Linked DNA regions of Sus scrofa. The protein of the gene in region 1 interacts with the protein of each later gene in a pairwise test. Links are inferred from orthologs where the notes say so. Each region holds a gene or a part of one and is shown in the gene's direction. Other genes may lie near its edges. The genes, in order: FOSL1, CREB5 and USF1.

Region 1 (5,797 bases):
CACACACACTCTTGAGATCTGAGCCCCTAATCTGTCACTGTCCCAGGCTGCCTGGGGAGCAGTGCAGGGTGGTGTTTCTGGGACCGGCAGAGGGATGCAGTCAAGGCTGACCTGTGTTAGGCCACCACCTGGCTGCCTCTGTCACCCTGACCTGTCCTGCTTGGGCTCAGCCGAGGAGTTCAGATCTCAGTGTGTGTGTGTGTGTGTGTGTGCACATGTGTGTTGTATGACTGCCTTAGCAAGTGATCAGAGCCCCCGCACTCCCACCCGAGGCTTTTTATCAACATAGGTATTTATCTTTGCTATTGTCATATGCTGCACGAAGCACATGGCATTTTATACGTATTCTCCAACAATCCCGAGATGTTGTCATCATCATATAGTTATATACAATGATGATTAGGGCTTCACTTTACAGAGGAGGCTCTGAGACCTCTGAGGCCTCACCTAGGTCACACTGCTGGTGAGCAGCCTGGTAGAATTCAAAGCCAGCTCTCAGACTTGTCTGATTCCCGCACATATGTTCCTTTCCATGAGTCACACTGCCTCAAAAAAATCTCTCTCTCTTTCCATCTCTCCCTCTCCCTCTCTCTCTCACACACCCACCCACACCCACCCACCCACACCCACACACCTGTATATTTCTCATTCTCATTCTGGTAAACATTGGTTTCTTTTCTCTTTAGAAAATGACAAGCATCAAGTAGAATAAGGGCAAGGGAGAGGCACCAGGCTGGCAACCACCTTCTGAGCGTACATCACTTTATAGCTTACAAAGCACTTTCACATGTGTGACCTCATTGAATCCCACAGCAGCCCCATGAGGTCAGCGGGAGGCTCAATTATTGCCACTGGGGCCGGGACTCAGAAGGAGGGTGACCTGCCCAGGGTAAGAGATAGAAAATGGTAACTCTGGGACTGCAAGCCCCAGGCCAGGCTGGCCTCTTGGCTCTAAGTCCTGAACGCATCTACAGACCTTGGCCTCTGTCCCCAAGGACAGCAGCCCAGGATCCCACCTTCCTGAAATCCTCCTTCCCTGAGGTCAAAGCTGGAACTGATCAAAAGGAGGTACCAGTGGAAAGCAGGAGCGTCCAGCTCTCTCTCAAGTGACCCTGGCGGCTCCTTACTTCATCTGGGCCTCAGTTTCCTCATCTGTAGAATGGGAAGAGACAGAGAAGCAGCTTTGGGGCGGTCCTCTCAGCACCAACATATGTGAAAAGCTGTCTGTGAGGGCTTTGAAATCGCTTGCCCAAACCTGGGCTGGGAGCTCCCACAGCCCTGATTTGGCAACCTGCTTCGGCCACTTGCTTAGTGATCTTGGGCCCTTCATTTCCACATCTCTCAGCCTCACTTCCCCCATCTGTAAAATGGGGACGATAATGGCACCTACCTCGCAGCGCTGCTGGTCTTCGGCTGTTGATATTTGTCCCTGGCCTCACATTCATACAGACTTTTGATGTAATCTCCAAACAAGGCTAGTGACCACACAGTCCTGGAAGAGTAGTTACAGTATTTAAAGAAAATGATGTTTATCAGACCACAGGACAAGTGCCCCACTGCAGGCTTTCACTGCTTACAGAGGTTCTGAATGAAAACTTGTCCTGACTCCTGAAATTACCCTGCGAGTAGGGCAATTACATTGCATAGTATTTGGGGATAGTTCAAAGCATTATCATGTCATTGTAAACATTTAAAATATACACCATTTTTGGAGTTCTCTGGTGGCTCAACAGGTTGATGATCTGGCACTGTCACTGCTGTGGCTTGGGGCGCTGCTGTGGTGAGGATGCCATCCCTGGCCTGGCAACTTCTGCATACCAACGGGCACAGCCAAATAAGTGTGTGTGTGTGTGTGTGTGTGTGTATCTACCACTTTTGTAATCCTGGTTTGTCATTCACTTTTTAGTAAACCTGAACCTTAAGACAACGCCAGTGAAAGGGCTTCACACCACAGACTTGGATGGCGGTAGCACGGTTCCTGGCATGAAATAAGCACCCAGTAAATAATGATAATGATGATAATAATAATGCTATCACATTTGTAACCCATTTTACAGTTTCCAGACCCCTTTCATTCCAACCTCCCACGCGCGGCCAGGGCGCTGTGTGATTATTTCGTCCCATTTTACGGATGCAAACACTGAGGGCTCTGGGATCTGGTGGCGGGATCTAGGTCTGCGCAGGTGGAGGGCGAGGCGAGGCGGGGCGGGGCTGGGCGGGGCGCAGGTGCCTCCGTCGGCGGGGGAATCCTTCGCTCCACCTGGGCGCGGCGAGGAAATTGCACCATGTATGGGCAGCTACGTCAGAGGAGGCGGACCTGCCGCTGTCGCAGGGGGACGTCAAGTCCGCCCTTTTTCCCCACCAAAAAGCGGCTAGCCGGCTGTAGGAGGCGACGAAAAGTTCAGGGCGGACTGGCAAAAGGCGGTGCGATTGCAGAGGTGGAGCCCCGAGGTGACCAGCGCCGCTGAGGAACGCCCCCCCCCGCCCCAGTGGAAGTGGTTCAGCCCGAGGACTTTTCATTCATAAAAAGAAAAGACTCCGCGAGGAGCGAGTGAGTCAGAACCAGAGCCGCCGACACGGACCCCACAGAGCAGCCAGCCCAGGGCATGTTCCGAGACTTCGGGGAACCGGGACCGAGCTCCGGGGCCGGAGGTGCGTACGGCGGCCCGGCGCAGCCCCCGGTGACAGGCCAGCAGGTGAGAGGAACCCTACGCCCAGTGTCCCCAGGTGGACAGCGCCTGAGACGGTGCGGGCCGCTCCAGCACAATCCGGACCGGGGCCGGGAACCGCAGGAGGGAGTGGGGCTCGGAGGGGTGGCAGCGGATCCTGCCCATTCTCGGTTGTCCAAGGGCTCTTTTCCCCCCACAGCCCAGTGGGACGCGCGCGGCGGGGGGGGGAACGAAGATCTGCGAACGTCCCCTCTGTGGCTCGCGCTCTTTCCCCCTCTCTCTGCGGTCTCTCCGTCCCTCCGTCTCTGTTACCGTCTTTCCTTCCTCCTGTCCACCGCCGATTTCTTTGTCCCATCTGCGTCCGAAGGGGACCCCTTGTCCGGGATGAGTTCTAGTCCCGGCAGAATCAAAGAGAACTAAATTCCAAGAGCCGGAGTCTGAGCTGCGGCCGAGATGTCCCCTCGCACAGAGAGGATCTACCGGCGGGCTGGACCCGGCAGACTGGGAATCCTGGGCGGTCTGTCTGTGATCATCCCGGCGCCCGCCCGTTTGTCTGTCCCTCCCCATCCCGTCGCCAGATCCTTATCATCATCTCGGCGCAGTGGAGCCTGGTGGGCTCCGGGAGACCGGCTCTTGACCCTTTTACGGGATGCGTCCGGCAGAGACCGTGAGGTGCAGGGAGACGTGCGCGGGGTCAGGCTGCGGGCAAGTCCCGCGCCCCCGGCTCTCGGCACCAAACGGCGCCCGCTGCCGGCAGGGGGGAACCTGGGAGGCTGCAGGTGCCCATTTCCTGTCGAGGGGCCGTGAGCACGTGTCGCTAGGGGAGGGAAGGAGCGGCGTCCGTTCCGCCGAGTCACGGCAGCCGAGTCACGGTGGCTGACTCACGCGGGGCGCCCCTCCCTTCCTGGCCCGGAGGGGCCCGGGCCTGGACAACCTCGGGAGCTGGAGATGCCGCCGGCGGTACCTTGGCCCGAAACTGGGGTCACTGGGCCATTGGGCCCGCAGCACTAAGCCGGGGACACTGCTGTCCTGACTTGTCTGGGCTTGTGGGGCGCTTCCCGGACGACTGGGCGCCCACACCCAGGGCTTGAATCTAGTTCTTTTTCCAAACAGTAAGCCCCCATCTCAACCCATTCCTCACGTTTCTGGCTGGAAGGGAATTGTGGCAGGTGATACCTGGAGCACATACTGTGCAGCTCTGCCTGGTGCCGGGCAGTTTCCGCCTCATTTATCTTAACTCCTAGAATCTAAGACCCCACTGATACTAAAACCCATCATTATTTTGTAGCACAAAAATTGTTTTCAAGTTGCCAATTGAACTATGAGAGCTGCTATTCAGGGCCACTAAAGGGTACTTCTTAGCATCATTGAAATGCTGTAATCCCTCCCTGTGACAATATTAAAAACGAGGAGACTGAGGCACACTGAGATTAAATAATTTGCCCAGAGAGCCAGTAAATGGCTGAGTTAAGATCAAAGCCGGGATAGCCTGAACCCAGAGCAGTGGTCCTTGTCCACACTTACCAGGCTCTCTCACACACATCCTCTCACCTGATTCTCACAATCACCCTTGAAGCCAGAAGCTGTCACTCTCCTCTTCATGCTGATGAGACTCAGGCTGCGTGCAAGAGTGGGCAAGGGCCTGGCTTCCTGGGCACAAACCTGCTTCCCACTTACTGGCTGTGCGTCTATGGAGAACTGTTTTCCTGTCTGAAAATGAAGATACTGTTGTGTAAATTATATGAGTCAGGATTAGCAAAGTCGTTGGGCCAGTGCCTGGAATTCACACTTTCTTAGCTCCGATGGGAGAAATGGAGGCCCCAGAGGTTGTGTGACCTGCCTAAAGTCACACAGTTCATAAGCAGGGATGCCTGCCAAGCTGCGCCCTCTCTGGTCTCTCAGAACCAGCAGCTGCCTTGAGGGTGGGCAGCAGTGTGACTTCTGTCCCCTGGAAGCCCCTCCGTCCCTACAGACCTCATCCCTAGTCCTCTGTGTCTTATCCCTCAGAAGTTCCACCTCGTGCCAAGCATCAACGCTGTGAGTGGCAGCCAGGAGCTGCAGTGGATGGTACAGCCTCACTTCCTGGGACCCAGCAGCTACCCCAGGCCTCTGGCGTACCCCCAGTACAGTCCCCCACAACCCCGGCCGGGAGTCATCCGGGCTCTGGGGCCAACTCCGGCAGTGCGTCGCCGGCACTGTGAACAGGTAAGGAGCAGAGGCATTTGCACAGGTTCCTGTGCCCGCAGGGCTGCTGAGGTGAAAAAGATAAGCTCTTGCTGAAAAGCAGAACACAGGCTTAGAAGGAGGGTGGGGAGAATAGGTCCACTGGTGACTACTGGCCAAGGCAGAAAGTGATAAGAGCCCCTGGGGAGACCCAGAAGGCAAAGTGGTCACTGGTGGATCAGGGAAAACTTCCTGGAGGTGGAGGCATATTAGCTGAGAAATATAGGTGGGATTTGCATAGAGAGATTTGCATGTCCCTTCCAGGTAGAGGGGATGGCAGGAGCAGGAATGGAGGTGGAGGAGTTCCCGTCATGGCGCAGCGGAAACAAATCCGACTAGTATCCATGAGGATGAGGGTTCAATTCCTGGCCTCACCCAGTGGGTCAGGGATCCAGCATTGCTGTGGCTGTGGTGTAGGCTGGCAGCTGCAGTTCAAATTCACCCCCTAGCCTGGGAACCACCATATGCCACAGGTGTGGCCCTGAAGCACCAAAAAAAAAAAAAAAAAAAAAAGGCTTGGAGGTGGAAGGGAGAATGTATAAGATGGAAAGTCGTGTGGACAGTGGAGGGTGGCCTGAGCTGTCTGTGGAGCTGGGGAGAGAAGGGGAAGGAGAGAGTTCCCTTCAGCTACTCTCTGGGGTACGGTTTCCCTGTCTCATTTGATCCTCGCAAAAACCCTCTTGGGAATGGACGCTGGCTTCCCCTTTTGACAGCCAAGGAAATGAAGGCACAGAGAGGTGGTCACTTGCCTAAGATCTCAGAAGCAGTGAGTGATGAGACCGGTCTGTCCAATTCTAAGATCATATCTTCACCATCAAACCTCTCTGTCTCACCCGAAGCTAAGAGAAGGCTTGAGGCTGAGAGACCTGGGACCTCTTGCCTCCCCAGCCAGGGTTCCTGCCTGC
Region 2 (5,797 bases), on another chromosome or scaffold:
AAGCTAAGAGGTGAGTCAGCACCACAAACAATATGGCTGATGTGGAGAAATTATCTGTCCATTGAGACTCCAAGTAACCTAATGATTATCAAGTTTTTGGGGAAGTCATTGGAAGAGTCCCATGTGTATTCTCTTGTCAACCGTGGTGTAGACAGGGTGATGTTTACCTGGTAACAGCACATCAAACAAAAGATCAGCAACAATTTTCAAGGATGGACAACTGATTTGGATAGTATTAGAAACTGATGAGCTACTTGCTTTAAAACTCAAATATATGCTTCTGTTTAGAGAATATTGGGAATTAAATGTTTTAAATTTATATGTTGATTAACTAATTACAGGTTTTAAACTCTTTTGATCATCATCTCAGTTTTGCTTATTCAATTCTCCATTCTATTCCTTTGGTCCACACCTGTCAGCCGGAAGAAGAGATGAGCTCTCTGACTGAGCATTGATAAGTTAGGCTGTCTGCCTTTTCTGTCTCAAGGTTGCTCCTTGTCTGGTTCACGCTTTTTCTTTAAGGGAGAAGGAGGTAGATCCTTGCTTTAGGTGGAAAAGGATGTCCAGCTAATTGAGTAGGAATGTGGGCAAGGAGGCTGTTCCTCAGGAGGCTGTTGCTTTCTTCTGTAAACACAGGTAATTGAGCTGTCATTTTAAAAGTTTTATTAGTTAAGATTCAAGTTAGGACTGGAGCCCTTCTTTTGCAATTCCTTCAGGGCTACACGTGGAAGAGAACAAATAGGAAACGCAGTGATGAGTTCTGAATCAAGCTGTGGGAAAGGAATAGTCAGCAGTCCCTGTGGTCTCAAGAAACACCAAGAAAGAGAGTTGTTTAAACACTTAAAAAATAGAAAGGAAACACAGAGCTCTTCCATTTAGTATGGCAAAACCAGCTCAGAAGTATGTGACGATCCAGGCAAAGCACGACAGTTTCTAGCCAGTCCAGTCATGATTCTCTGGCAAACTGCACAGTCATGGTTATGATGCATTGGGATGAGAGGTGCTATATAAATGTCAGATGTTACATAAATGTCAGGAATGATTATTGTTTGTTAATGGGGGCTAAACTGTTCCTAAGCAAAGCTTGGACTCCCAGCCAACTCGTCCTCAGCAAAGGTTCTAACCATCAATAACCCATGAGAATGGAAAGCTCCGCCCTGGTTCTAGAAAGGAGTCCAGTTAGGATTTGGAGTTTTAAAACAGGGGCGGGAGTTATCCAGTGGCTTCAGGCCAGCCCCCTAAGCTTCTGGAATTTGCCTTGGCTCCCTGTAAAATGGGGATAATTATAACACCTGCCCTACTTCTCCTTGTGCTGGGTTGTTGTGAGAATCAGGGGAGTTCCACGTGGGTTCCAGTGCTTTGCAAAGTGTGAGCTGCTGCAAGGATGACCGTGGTGCTCTGAGATGTCTGGCATCTCCTGGATTTAGCCTCTGCCTTCCCTTTGAGTCCGACTCACAGAGAGAACATCCGAATGGAAATTAAGCTGGGGATGGCCATGGTGACCTGGCTGATGCTGAAAACACCAGGCTCCTTCTCTCACTGAGCTGTCAGGAACGTACTGCAGACCAGGGCCCCGAATCCTGCATTCCGGCTCTGGCTCTGCCACTTGCCAGCTTATGAGCTTGGGCAAGTAACAGAGGAGGCTCTGGAAGTGAGCGCCAAGGGCCCTTCCGGATCTGACGCTGAGTCTAAATCAGGCTCATCATTTGGCTCTAGCTGTAATTCACCTTTCGCCTGCAGGAACAACGCTCCTTCCAGCTTCTCACACTCATGAAGCAGGGGTCTTGGGAAGGACAGGGGCATCACATTCCAAATGAGTGTGCACAATAAAGAAGTTATTCCTTTGGAGGTGAAATGGGGCGCGGCGGGGGGGGGGGAGGGCCGTGAAAAGGGGTGTCGAGTGAATGCTCTGAGAAGCCAGGATGCAGGGAACACTGTAATGAGGTCACGACTGTCGCAGGCAAAAAGGAGCTGGACATCTGCTGGTGGGGGAAGGGGGAGCGTTCCTCATTTCTGTTTGTAGAAAGTCTCTTCCCGCATTCGTCTGCACCCCCTCCCCACCCTTCCTCTACTCCCCATTCCCACCCTTCCCCTACTCCCCGTCCCCACACCTTTCAAATGCCACCAGGCCCTCCTCACGGGAGAGCCCAGGTCCCTGCCTCCTCCGTGGTCCCGTCTGAAACCGTGACGATTGTTTCCAAGCTGACTCACACCACTAATGTCAGGGAGCCGTGTCACACGGCGCTGGCCTCTGCAAGCTGTTGCTCGCGCGGTCGCCGCTGCCGCCGCCGCTCCCCCGCGGGTGCACCAGAGTCGGCTGGTGGGGCGGTGCGCGGGCGGGGCCCGCCCCCTCGGCGCGCCGGCCCCGCCCCTCCCTCCTCCCCCCACCCCCCCACGGGCCGCAATGATTTAGAAGTTCAGGAATCCCACGTGACGTCACCGGGGGGGTGATGTAATGCACTCTAAATAGAATGTATTGTAATCTTTGCTCAGTCCAACGTGGTCCCTTCACCCGGGCTCCGCTCTTGCCTTCTCCACACTTGTTTGGTAAGTTCCTAAAAATACGGCTCGGCCACTTCTGGGGCTTTTGCATTTAGCCACTTTTGTTGCACTTGCCGCGGGAGCCATCTCGGGAACGTACTTGTTTGCAGGGGCTGGTTCTCGGCAGCAGCCGCGAGGTTACTTGGTCTAGTGGGCAGGTCACAGGGCAAGAAGTAGGGGAAGATGCGATGCATTTTTTTTTTTTTTTTGGAGGATGATCTGTGTTTGTAAACACTCTGGCGGACCAGAGGGAAGTCCGTCCCCCAATGCTGGTGGACCGTGGAATTCGGCTGTGTCCTGAGGCTACCCCAGAGACCCCACGCCGAGTCCGTCCCGGAGCGCGTCTCGGTGGCCGCCGCGCCGTGCGACTGGAGGGATGCTAACGTGGAGCGAGCGCCGTGTCAGCCCCGGCGTGCGTGCGTGTGTGGGAGCGCGCGTGTGTTTCCCTGACACGGGGAACAGTTATGAATCGGGGGTGTGTGTTTGCCTCCAGAGACCTGGCAAGGTGCGGAACCCTCCAGAAGTGCGGTCAAGCGGCGTCAGCGGTGGCGGCAGCGGAGACGGCGAGCCAGGAACCGCCCCCCGCGTCCCCAACTTCCCGGTGATGCGGCGGAACCCCCGGAAAAAGTTTGCAAACTTCCAGCGGGCGCGGCGAGGACGCCGGGTCACCTAGGGGGCGGATGGACGGGCGCGCGGGGGGCTCGCTCCCTCCCCGGTGCTGAGCCTGCTGCTGCCACCTCTCCCGCAGGGCTGCCGGCCCCAGGTGGTGGGCGCGCGCGCCCTGGGAGGGGACGTCGCTCTTGGAGGGCACTTTGCTTTCACTCCGGGCGCGGAGGGCTGGAGAGTGGCGAGGCTCTTCTCGCCTTCATTCCTCCAGCCACCTCTTGCCTCCGTCCGGTTCTCGTTGGCATCATTACCTCTTCTCCGCTGCTGCCCCAAATGACAGCTCCCGCTTTTGCCGCGGCGGCGCGGTGGCAGTTCCCAGGATACGGCGGCGGCGAAGCCCTCTTCTCCAGGCAGATTCTTCAAGGAATCGCTTAAAACTTTTCACGACGGTCTTAGAGGGGCAAGACGCACGAAGCAACCAAAGAGATGTTTTTTCCCCGTCGGCTGCATTTCGCTTTTCTTTTGCTATAGGTTTATTGGGGGGGGTGCTAATCTGGTAGATGAAGCCCCCGATCTTGATCTTGTCCACTCCTCCCTAACTTTCCTTGAACGGGTGCCGCCCCCACTTGAGGCTGGTACAGGGCCGGGAACTCAAGTGGGTCTCTTGTGTATTTCGTTGTCAGAGCCCGCAGAGTGTATGATTTTTATTTTTCCCTCCCTCTCTGACATGTGTCAAGGAATAAAGGCTGGAGACAGGTCCATTACGTCATTCTGCAGGCCGTAAGTGTTTGATTAACAGCTTCAGATACTCAAGGGTTAGGGGCTTAGAAGTGCTGACAAAGCAACTATGCTTTCCATCCCCAGCCCCCACCATACTCGTACAATCGCCGATTCCCTGGGCATCTTTATTACCCTCTCCCTCTGGACCCCTCCTTCTCCGCCCGCTCTCTCCCGCCCATACCGTTATCACTCTGGCCCCGCCTCCGCCTTTTACTGCTTTCCCTGGGGCGGTCACAGTCCCTGGAGCGTGGTGAGAGCTTCTGGCGGCTGAGGGGGGCACAGTACCTGATCTGCGGGCACACAAGCTGCCCTTTTCTATTATTTAAGAAAGGCGCTAGCGAGCCCTCTCCTCTAGGGCAAAAATAACTTAGTCCTGATAGAAAAGGCATCTCAGGAAATGTTTAGAGACGCTACGGTGGATAATACCACGTCCCTGTGTTGACTTAGGAAAACAACACACCCACAGCAAACAAAGTACTTAATTTTACATAACGCCTTCCTCTTTCCTTCCAGCAGTTAGCCGGAGGGGGATGGCGAGGTTGTGCTGACTAAATCAAATTTATCCGAAAGGCTCAAGATTAAACGTTTCATTTCCAAAGTTAGGGAATGTGAGTCTTGGAACCCGAATACTATACAATAAATTGGGGCGTGTGTTACTTTCTTAATCTTAACCTTAAGTTTCTTTATTTAAAGAGGAAGTTAAGTATGGAAGTCACTGAATCGAGCCAGAATCTCCGTATCTGGCAGTTGAAATAAAAATACTGTTTGTGACACGTTTAAGGGATAAAAGTAAAAAGATCTCCGAGGGGTGGGGGTGCGGGGGTGCAGCAGGAGTCAAATAGAAGATTTCCTAACAGGATTTTGGATGGAGGAGGGCAGAGAGTTTCAGGGCTCTCTGATTTGGAGTTGGTGAAAGTTAAATAAAGGAAAATTTATATTCTGAGTATGTGGGAATTTCTTGAAGCATGCGTGTCTTGTTATAATCAAATCTGCTTTCTTCAAAGTGAAAGCCGTGCTGTAGAGTAGGCATTTGTGAAACTCCTGTCTGGGGTCTAATTGACATCTCCTTCCCCAAGTTTGTGGCAGTGTTTATTATTTATTCACATCTAGAGATGAAATAGTATAACCCCCACACAATACATGTGCATCTAAAATGTTAAACTTCTTGTTTGTGATGCATACATAGACCCAAAGGGAAAAATGGCCCGGGTCACCAGCACTGGAGAGTGTGATTAATGATCAGTGATTTAGTGATCAGTGATTAGTGGTTTTATTCAAACTGTTACCTCTGACCAGAAGCACACATCAGAGGATTAACAGGCTCTTTAGATAAATGCTCATTAGTGGAAGGGGGAAAGCAAAGATAATAGGCATGCACCCAGGGACAACTTTCGAAGAAAATCATTCCCCGTCTTCAGAATAATAAGCTCTATTAACAGAAAGCCCTTTTAATTTAAAACTTGCTTTTATCTTGTAAATCAAAGTTAGATGTAAAAGTTTGTAGTGCCATTATAACCTAAATTTTCCCATATCCACTTGATGTGGATTATCTCAGTAGCGATATTTTTTTTTATTTAAATAAACAATTGGACCTTTAAAGCAGCTGGACCCTGACAAGTCCTTAACTCCCAGGGTTTGAAGGTGTCCCCCCTTCTAGAAGGGAGAGTGCAGCTTGCTAACTAGATGGCGCACTGCTATTTGGTGTGCTGTGCTGTGTCCTGCAGGAGTCCAAAGGAGCAAGTAGCTGCTTGCGAGGTGTTCTCCCACACTCACAACAAAGTTGATTCTGTGCAGGGTTGGAGGCTAGACAGTTCTACAAGTTTTTAGTCACATTTTCCATGTCAGTTGAATCTAGGGAGTTCAAGGCTTC
Region 3 (5,812 bases), on another chromosome or scaffold:
AGTGCCCAACCCTATAGGTTTTGGCCCTCCAGTTTCTCTTTGACTGTGAGAGGCACTATCTCTGTTTACTTGAGCTTGTCTCAGACACAAAGCACTTATCCCTTAGGAGATTCCAGAAAGAGTCACCAAGATCCTGTTCCCAGAGAGTGGGGTCATTGGCCAAAGGGAACAAAGAGTAGGTAGAAAAACTTACAGGTTTCTCAAAGTGAAGAATGACGGGGGAACTCCAGCCAAGTTCCTGCCATCCTCTGAGGCAATGAACTTCTCTTCATGGAAGTCCAGGGTAAAGGCAGAGGTCAGGGCCATATCGGAGCTTATTATACACAAACACTTCTAGAGTTACCCATCCTTGTTCTACTTTGGGGCTGTTAAACGCCTCCTGCTCCTCAGCTTAGGAGGAACATGTCCAAGAAACTTTTTGAACCCTGTAGTATTTGTTGGAGGGACAGGCTCCCTTCCTAGCTCCCCTACTTTCTGCCTCCCTGCATCTCAAGACAGAGAGGTCTTGTACAGATCTCTCTGCCCTCTTCTTTTCCCTTCGGAATAACTTCCTATTTCAGGGAAGGGGAATGATGTCACTTACACCCTGGGACTACTTGTCTGGATAGGCTGGGGGCCACGAATCCCAAGGGGCAATGTCTCATAATAAAAGTTGTATTTTTACACGTAAATAGTGTGGAGTTTCATTACTCTTATTAAAGTCTTGAGTGACAGGTATCATATTTTCAAATATTTGACCATTCGTTGTCTTTTCTGCTTTTATTGTTTGGGTGCTCTTCCTCAGTTGTTGCCATAGAGACCTGCGGCTGGAAACTAGAGCTGGGTTCATGGTGGTCAGGAAATGCGGAAGAGAAACTTATATTTGCATAATGCTCATTATGTGCCAGTAAAGGCTAGGTATTCTATGTGCACATAGTCTATGCTCCTGATTTTTCTGAATCCACTTAATAATTCTAAAAGGTTGGTACAGGTAAATCCATTTCACAGATGAGGAAACTAAATTAAGTCAAAAGGTTTGCCAAAGGTTTCAGAGCCAAGAAGTGGCAGAGTTAGGTCTGAGACCCGAGTTTGTCTGGCTCCAGGCTCTGAACTCGTCTCATTACCGCCCCCGCAACTTGAGGGTAGGTCTTGACTGAAAAAGAATGGGAATCAAGATGCCTCTCCCAGAAACTGTGAGCCTCTCAAAAACTGGAAGCCCTGGAGGGTCTTTAGGTGCCTTCTAACCCTAATACAAATAAGTATATCCAGATCTATTTATACCAGCTATGTCCTAATGTCTAATAAGCAACCACAAACAGGTATACTGATCCAAGATGGCCTCCCAAAGAGCCCTTGTTAAAGATGGCGCCTCCATCCGATGTCCCTCGCTTGATCCAAGCTGGCCTCTCTCACGCCCTTCTCCTGGAGCTAAAAAGGCCCTGTCCAGCAGAAAAATAGTAGCACCAAGTTAGTCGTCTTTCTTCCGTCCTTGCTAGAGCGACTAGGACTTCAGTGTCATTCTCCAAGGATCCCCGGTCGTGGCTTCTTCCCCACCCCAGCAACACCTCCAACACGCTCGCATCCTTCAGCCCCCGGCAAGATGGAGCGAACGGAAGTGGGGCAGCACAGAGGCTGTGTAGGCTGGGCGGACGGGAGGAGACACTTCCGCCCCTCACCAACATGGCTGTGAGCCGGTAGTGCGCATGATCAGCTGTCCAAGGAGCTACCCGAGTCGAGAGAGGGAGAACTCGGTCCAGGGAAATAGGAGCCTGCGGCGGCCTTGGCTGGTGAGTGCAGGACCCGACGAGAGTCTGGAGACTGGGTGGGCAGGCGGGGGAGAGCAGCTTCGATTTTATTTCCGTTTTTTAGGTCCAGAAACTCCTGGGGCGGAAGCTTTTGTTTGGAGGGAGGGGGCCGTGCCTGATCTTTATCTCCTACCCCCTTTTGTGGGCCGAACTCACTCCCCGCCCCCGGGCGCGCTCTCCTTCGATGGCAGCCGCGGGCCGCGGGGCCAAGACCACGGGATCCGCTGAACCCCCGGCCTCAATTCCTGCCTCTGCGGAGCAGCGGGGTCTCGGGATGTGACGGGCCGGGCTGGACGGGTCACGGCGCGGGCTCCTGGGCTCGCGCCCGACCGGCGCTCAGCTCTTAAGCGCCTACTGCTTGATGGGCCTGCAGGGAGACGCCGCATTCTCAGGCAAGGTCTAGGCGCCAGCCTTCTTTGGGGACTTGATTATTTTCCCTTTGTGTCCAGACTTAGCCAGGGCTCTCCCCCCCCCCCCTTTGCCTGAGCGTGCACGCTACGACATCCTATCCCACTTTCCTGTCGCATACCCCTAACGCTCAGGAAATGCTTCTGGATGCCCTACTAAGATTTGAATAAGTATCTTGACCCCGTTGCTGGGCGTCCTCAGAGGCTGCCCCGGCTGACAGCTGTGGGCCATAGAGACGCCTCCTCTGCCCTGCCCTCTTGTTTCATTGCTTCCTTCTGCTGTCAGCGCAGCAAGCTTCAGAGGGGCACTTCCTCCGTACGTTCGAGGATGGAGAGGTAGGTGGTCCCGAAATACTGGTGCTACTTCCCCCTTAGGGACCGGATCTTAATTGCAGCGCTACTTGCTCCGGACAGTTTCATTTTCAGTTCCTTTTTTTTTCTTTTTTGTGAACACTTTGGATATGGGCTTTCCATGACTTAACCGCTGAAGATAAAGGTTTGGGAGACCCTTACAGGTAGAGAACTTAAAAAAATCTTACCCCTTTCCTGTCGGGATTACTTATTGCTTTGTACTATATTGCTATTTCTTTCTAGAGGCATCTGTCTTCTCAGCCCTTTGTTTTTCCTGCCGCCGCCACCCTCACTTACCCCCACTGGGTGTCAGGGTCTTTTTTTTTTTTTTTTTTTTTTTTCTTTTGGCCTAGCAGGGGGTGGGGGCGGGCATGTGGAAGTTCCCAGGACGGGAGTTGAACCCGCACCGCAGCAGCAGCCCAGGCCACTGCAGTGACAACTGCTGCTGGATCCTTACCGCTGTGCCGCAAGAGAACTTCAGTGTCAGGGTTGTAAGGCAGGCACCTCTTAGATGGATTCTTCCTCCATTATCTCTTCTTCCAAACCCTGAACCTGGAGTTTCCCTCTTCTTGCTGAGGCTTGGTTGATTTGGAGTTGTCATGGCAACATTTTAGCAACTGTGTTGTTCTACAGGAAGGCTTAGTGAATAAAATAGAAGGGGCTTGAAGAGGATACACTTGGGCTTTAGGGTCTTTAATGAATGAGGTAAATCTGGACTCCCAAAACAAGAGCCCTGTCAGTAGAATGATGCCCAAGGGCCAAATCTGGTCTTTTATGGTTCTGGAGGTTCTCCAGTGGGTTCAGGTTTCCCTTTCTTAGATTTGAGGACAGGAATTTCTTGATGTACAATATATGCTTGAGAAGTGGGAAGAAGCATCAACATCCAAGACCTTGTGTTTTTTGATAGCTGTGGTCTAAACATGGTCCTTCTAATCTCCATGTCATGGCAGATCATGATAGCTTTAATAATAATCCATCCAGAAATACGTTATTTCTTAGTCTTTCAGTATAATTATCTCTTCTCCATCAGGAGTTGGAGTGATAATTGGAGGGGCGAGAAACACTATTCATATAATTGCTCTTTCAGTCACTGTAGACAGTCTTCAGCATCAGAATGGAGAAAGCTGATTGTCCCCTGCAGATGATTGGTTTATGTTCCTGGATGTGTCTTCATGGAGCCTAGTTCTAGAAAGAGGAGACTTCCAGTTTCTTAGACTCACTAGACTTCCTGATTTCTACCAGGACTTAGCACTCAGGCCTGTGAGGCAGGAGATACGAAGACTTCCAAAGAAGGACCAGTTCCTCGGATGTGCCCCCTCACAGAGAGATGAAGGGGTGAGTGAAGAAGAGGTAGGGTCTGGTTTGGGAGGCCTGGGAGAATGCAAAATGGCTAAGAGCACTGATTCTGGAGTCAGGCAGACCTAGATTTAGGTCCCAGCTCCATCACCTAGCTATGTGATCTGGTTTCCTGTTTATAAAATGCAGGCAGTGCTACCTACCACACAGTGCTGTTCTTAGTACTAAGTAAGATATTGCCTGTTAAGTGCTTAGCTCAGCACTAAATAAATACTAGCTCTTGTTATTCTGACCTAACCGAGCATCTGCTGGGAGTGCCAGTGAGTTTGGGAGCCATATGTTATTGGGCCAGTGAGCTTTTCATTCACTTTTTCCCATATTTTTTTGTCCCCTCACAAACAGGCAGCAGAAAACAGCTGAAACGGAAGAGGGGACAGTGCAGATTCAGGAAGGTAAGTGGGAGAAACAGAACTGAGCTAAGACCAAGAGCCCACTGGGGCCTCTCCCCCACCCCATGGGCCCATCACTTGTGTAACCTTCTTCTAAATGACACGTAGGTGGAACAGAGAGGAAAAGGCAGTAACTCACAGACTTTTCCTTTTAATTCAGGTGCGGTGGCAACTGGGGAGGACCCAACCAGTGTGGCAATTGCCAGCATCCAGTCAGCTGCCACTTTCCCTGACCCCAACGTCAAGTACGTCTTCCGAACTGAAAATGGGGGCCAGGTAAGGGAGGGGGCCAGGTGGCTGCAGGTGTTATCTGGGATTGGGAATGGGGGAGGTAACTGAACCTGTCACATGGGGAGACCTGGATTGGAGGATGAGGTGAAGATGTGGACTGTCTGGAAGGTGGGGGGTGGAGTAGAGATTGGTGTGGGGTAGGGGTTATGCTGAAACCTCTATATGGGGAAAGGCAAGGGAATGGCTAACTGTATGTTTCTGAAGGATTCTTGTTTGGGGACCCTGTCCCTGGCACTTACTCTCTTGTTCTCCCTTCCCCTTCTTCCCTTTTCCTCCTTGCCTCTAGGTGATGTACAGGGTGATCCAGGTGTCTGAGGGGCAGCTGGATGGCCAGACTGAGGGGACTGGCGCCATCAGTGGCTACCCTGCCACTCAATCCATGACCCAGGTACAGGCGTATGGACTGGGGAGGGGACTGGAGCTCTGAGTATGGAGACGAAGAAGGGAACCAATAGGATGGGGGTGTGGCACGGGATGGTGAGGCAGCTATAGCTGCCTTGACCCAAAGCTCTAGGCTCTCCCTTTCTGGATGTTTCTACTTCCCTCCTCCCTAGGGATAGAAGTAGTAGAGTAATGCACTGAAAGTATCTGACTGTCACTTCTCTCTTTTCTTCTGCTCCCTTTCCCAGGCCGTGATCCAGGGTGCGTTCACGAGTGATGATGCAGTTGACACAGAGGGGACAGCTGCTGAGACGCACTATACTTACTTCCCCAGCACTGCAGTGGGAGATGGGGCAGGGGGTACCACATCGGGGAGTACAGCAGCTGTTGTTACTACCCAGGGCTCAGAGGCACTACTGGGGCAGGCGACCCCTCCTGGCACTGGTGAGATATTGTGTGAGGATGCTGGCTGGAGGGTCTAGGATAGACTGTGGGACACAACCGGTGGGCAGTGGGCCTTTATTCATGATCCCTTAATGATCACTAAGACCTGGGTAGGCAGTGAGTCCGGGGCTGCCCTTCCAGCAGGAGGAAGGATGTTCTTTTTAGAGGAGGGTCCCAGGGCTTTGGCCTTAGAGCTTGGTGAGGTTCCTAGTCCCATGTCCTGACAGCACCTCCCCTACATCTTCACAGGTCAGTTCTTTGTGATGATGTCACCACAAGAAGTGTTACAAGGTGGCAGCCAGCGCTCTATTGCTCCCAGGACCCACCCTTATTCCCCGTGAGTGACCCTTGTTTCATCTCAGTTACTGGGAATGGTCTTGATTCTTTCCAGATTTGATGTCCTCCCTTA

The links.
Region 2: the proteins of FOSL1 (region 1) and CREB5 interact in binary tests that used the Homo sapiens proteins (3 or more experiments, as listed by UniProt). The two-hybrid records come from large-scale screens. The link is inferred for Sus scrofa from reciprocal best matches to the Homo sapiens genes FOSL1 and CREB5.
Region 3: the proteins of FOSL1 (region 1) and USF1 interact in binary tests that used the Homo sapiens proteins (3 or more experiments, as listed by UniProt). The link is inferred for Sus scrofa from reciprocal best matches to the Homo sapiens genes FOSL1 and USF1.

The regions. Positions count from the first base shown.
Region 1 is NC_010444.4:6,427,801-6,433,597, forward strand, and holds the start of FOSL1 (fos-related antigen 1), read left to right. Parts: upstream 1-2,357; 5' UTR 2,358-2,606; coding exon 2,607-2,696; intron 2,697-4,676; coding exon 4,677-4,874; intron 4,875-5,797.
Region 2 is NC_010460.4:44,261,147-44,266,943, reverse strand, and holds the start of CREB5 (cyclic AMP-responsive element-binding protein 5), read left to right. Parts: upstream 1-2,467; 5' UTR 2,468-2,547; intron 2,548-2,553; exon of another isoform or gene 2,554-3,034; 5' UTR 3,035-5,797. UniProt on the Homo sapiens protein: Binds to the cAMP response element and activates transcription.
Region 3 is NC_010446.5:89,393,520-89,399,331, forward strand, and holds the start of USF1 (upstream stimulatory factor 1), read left to right. Parts: upstream 1-1,780; 5' UTR 1,781-2,176; intron 2,177-2,244; exon of another isoform or gene 2,245-2,527; intron 2,528-2,544; exon of another isoform or gene 2,545-2,706; intron 2,707-3,784; 5' UTR 3,785-3,869; coding exon 3,870-3,877; exon of another isoform or gene 3,878-3,892; intron 3,893-4,240; coding exon 4,241-4,290; intron 4,291-4,447; coding exon 4,448-4,563; intron 4,564-4,864; coding exon 4,865-4,966; intron 4,967-5,207; coding exon 5,208-5,403; intron 5,404-5,652; coding exon 5,653-5,740; intron 5,741-5,794; coding exon of another isoform or gene 5,795-5,812.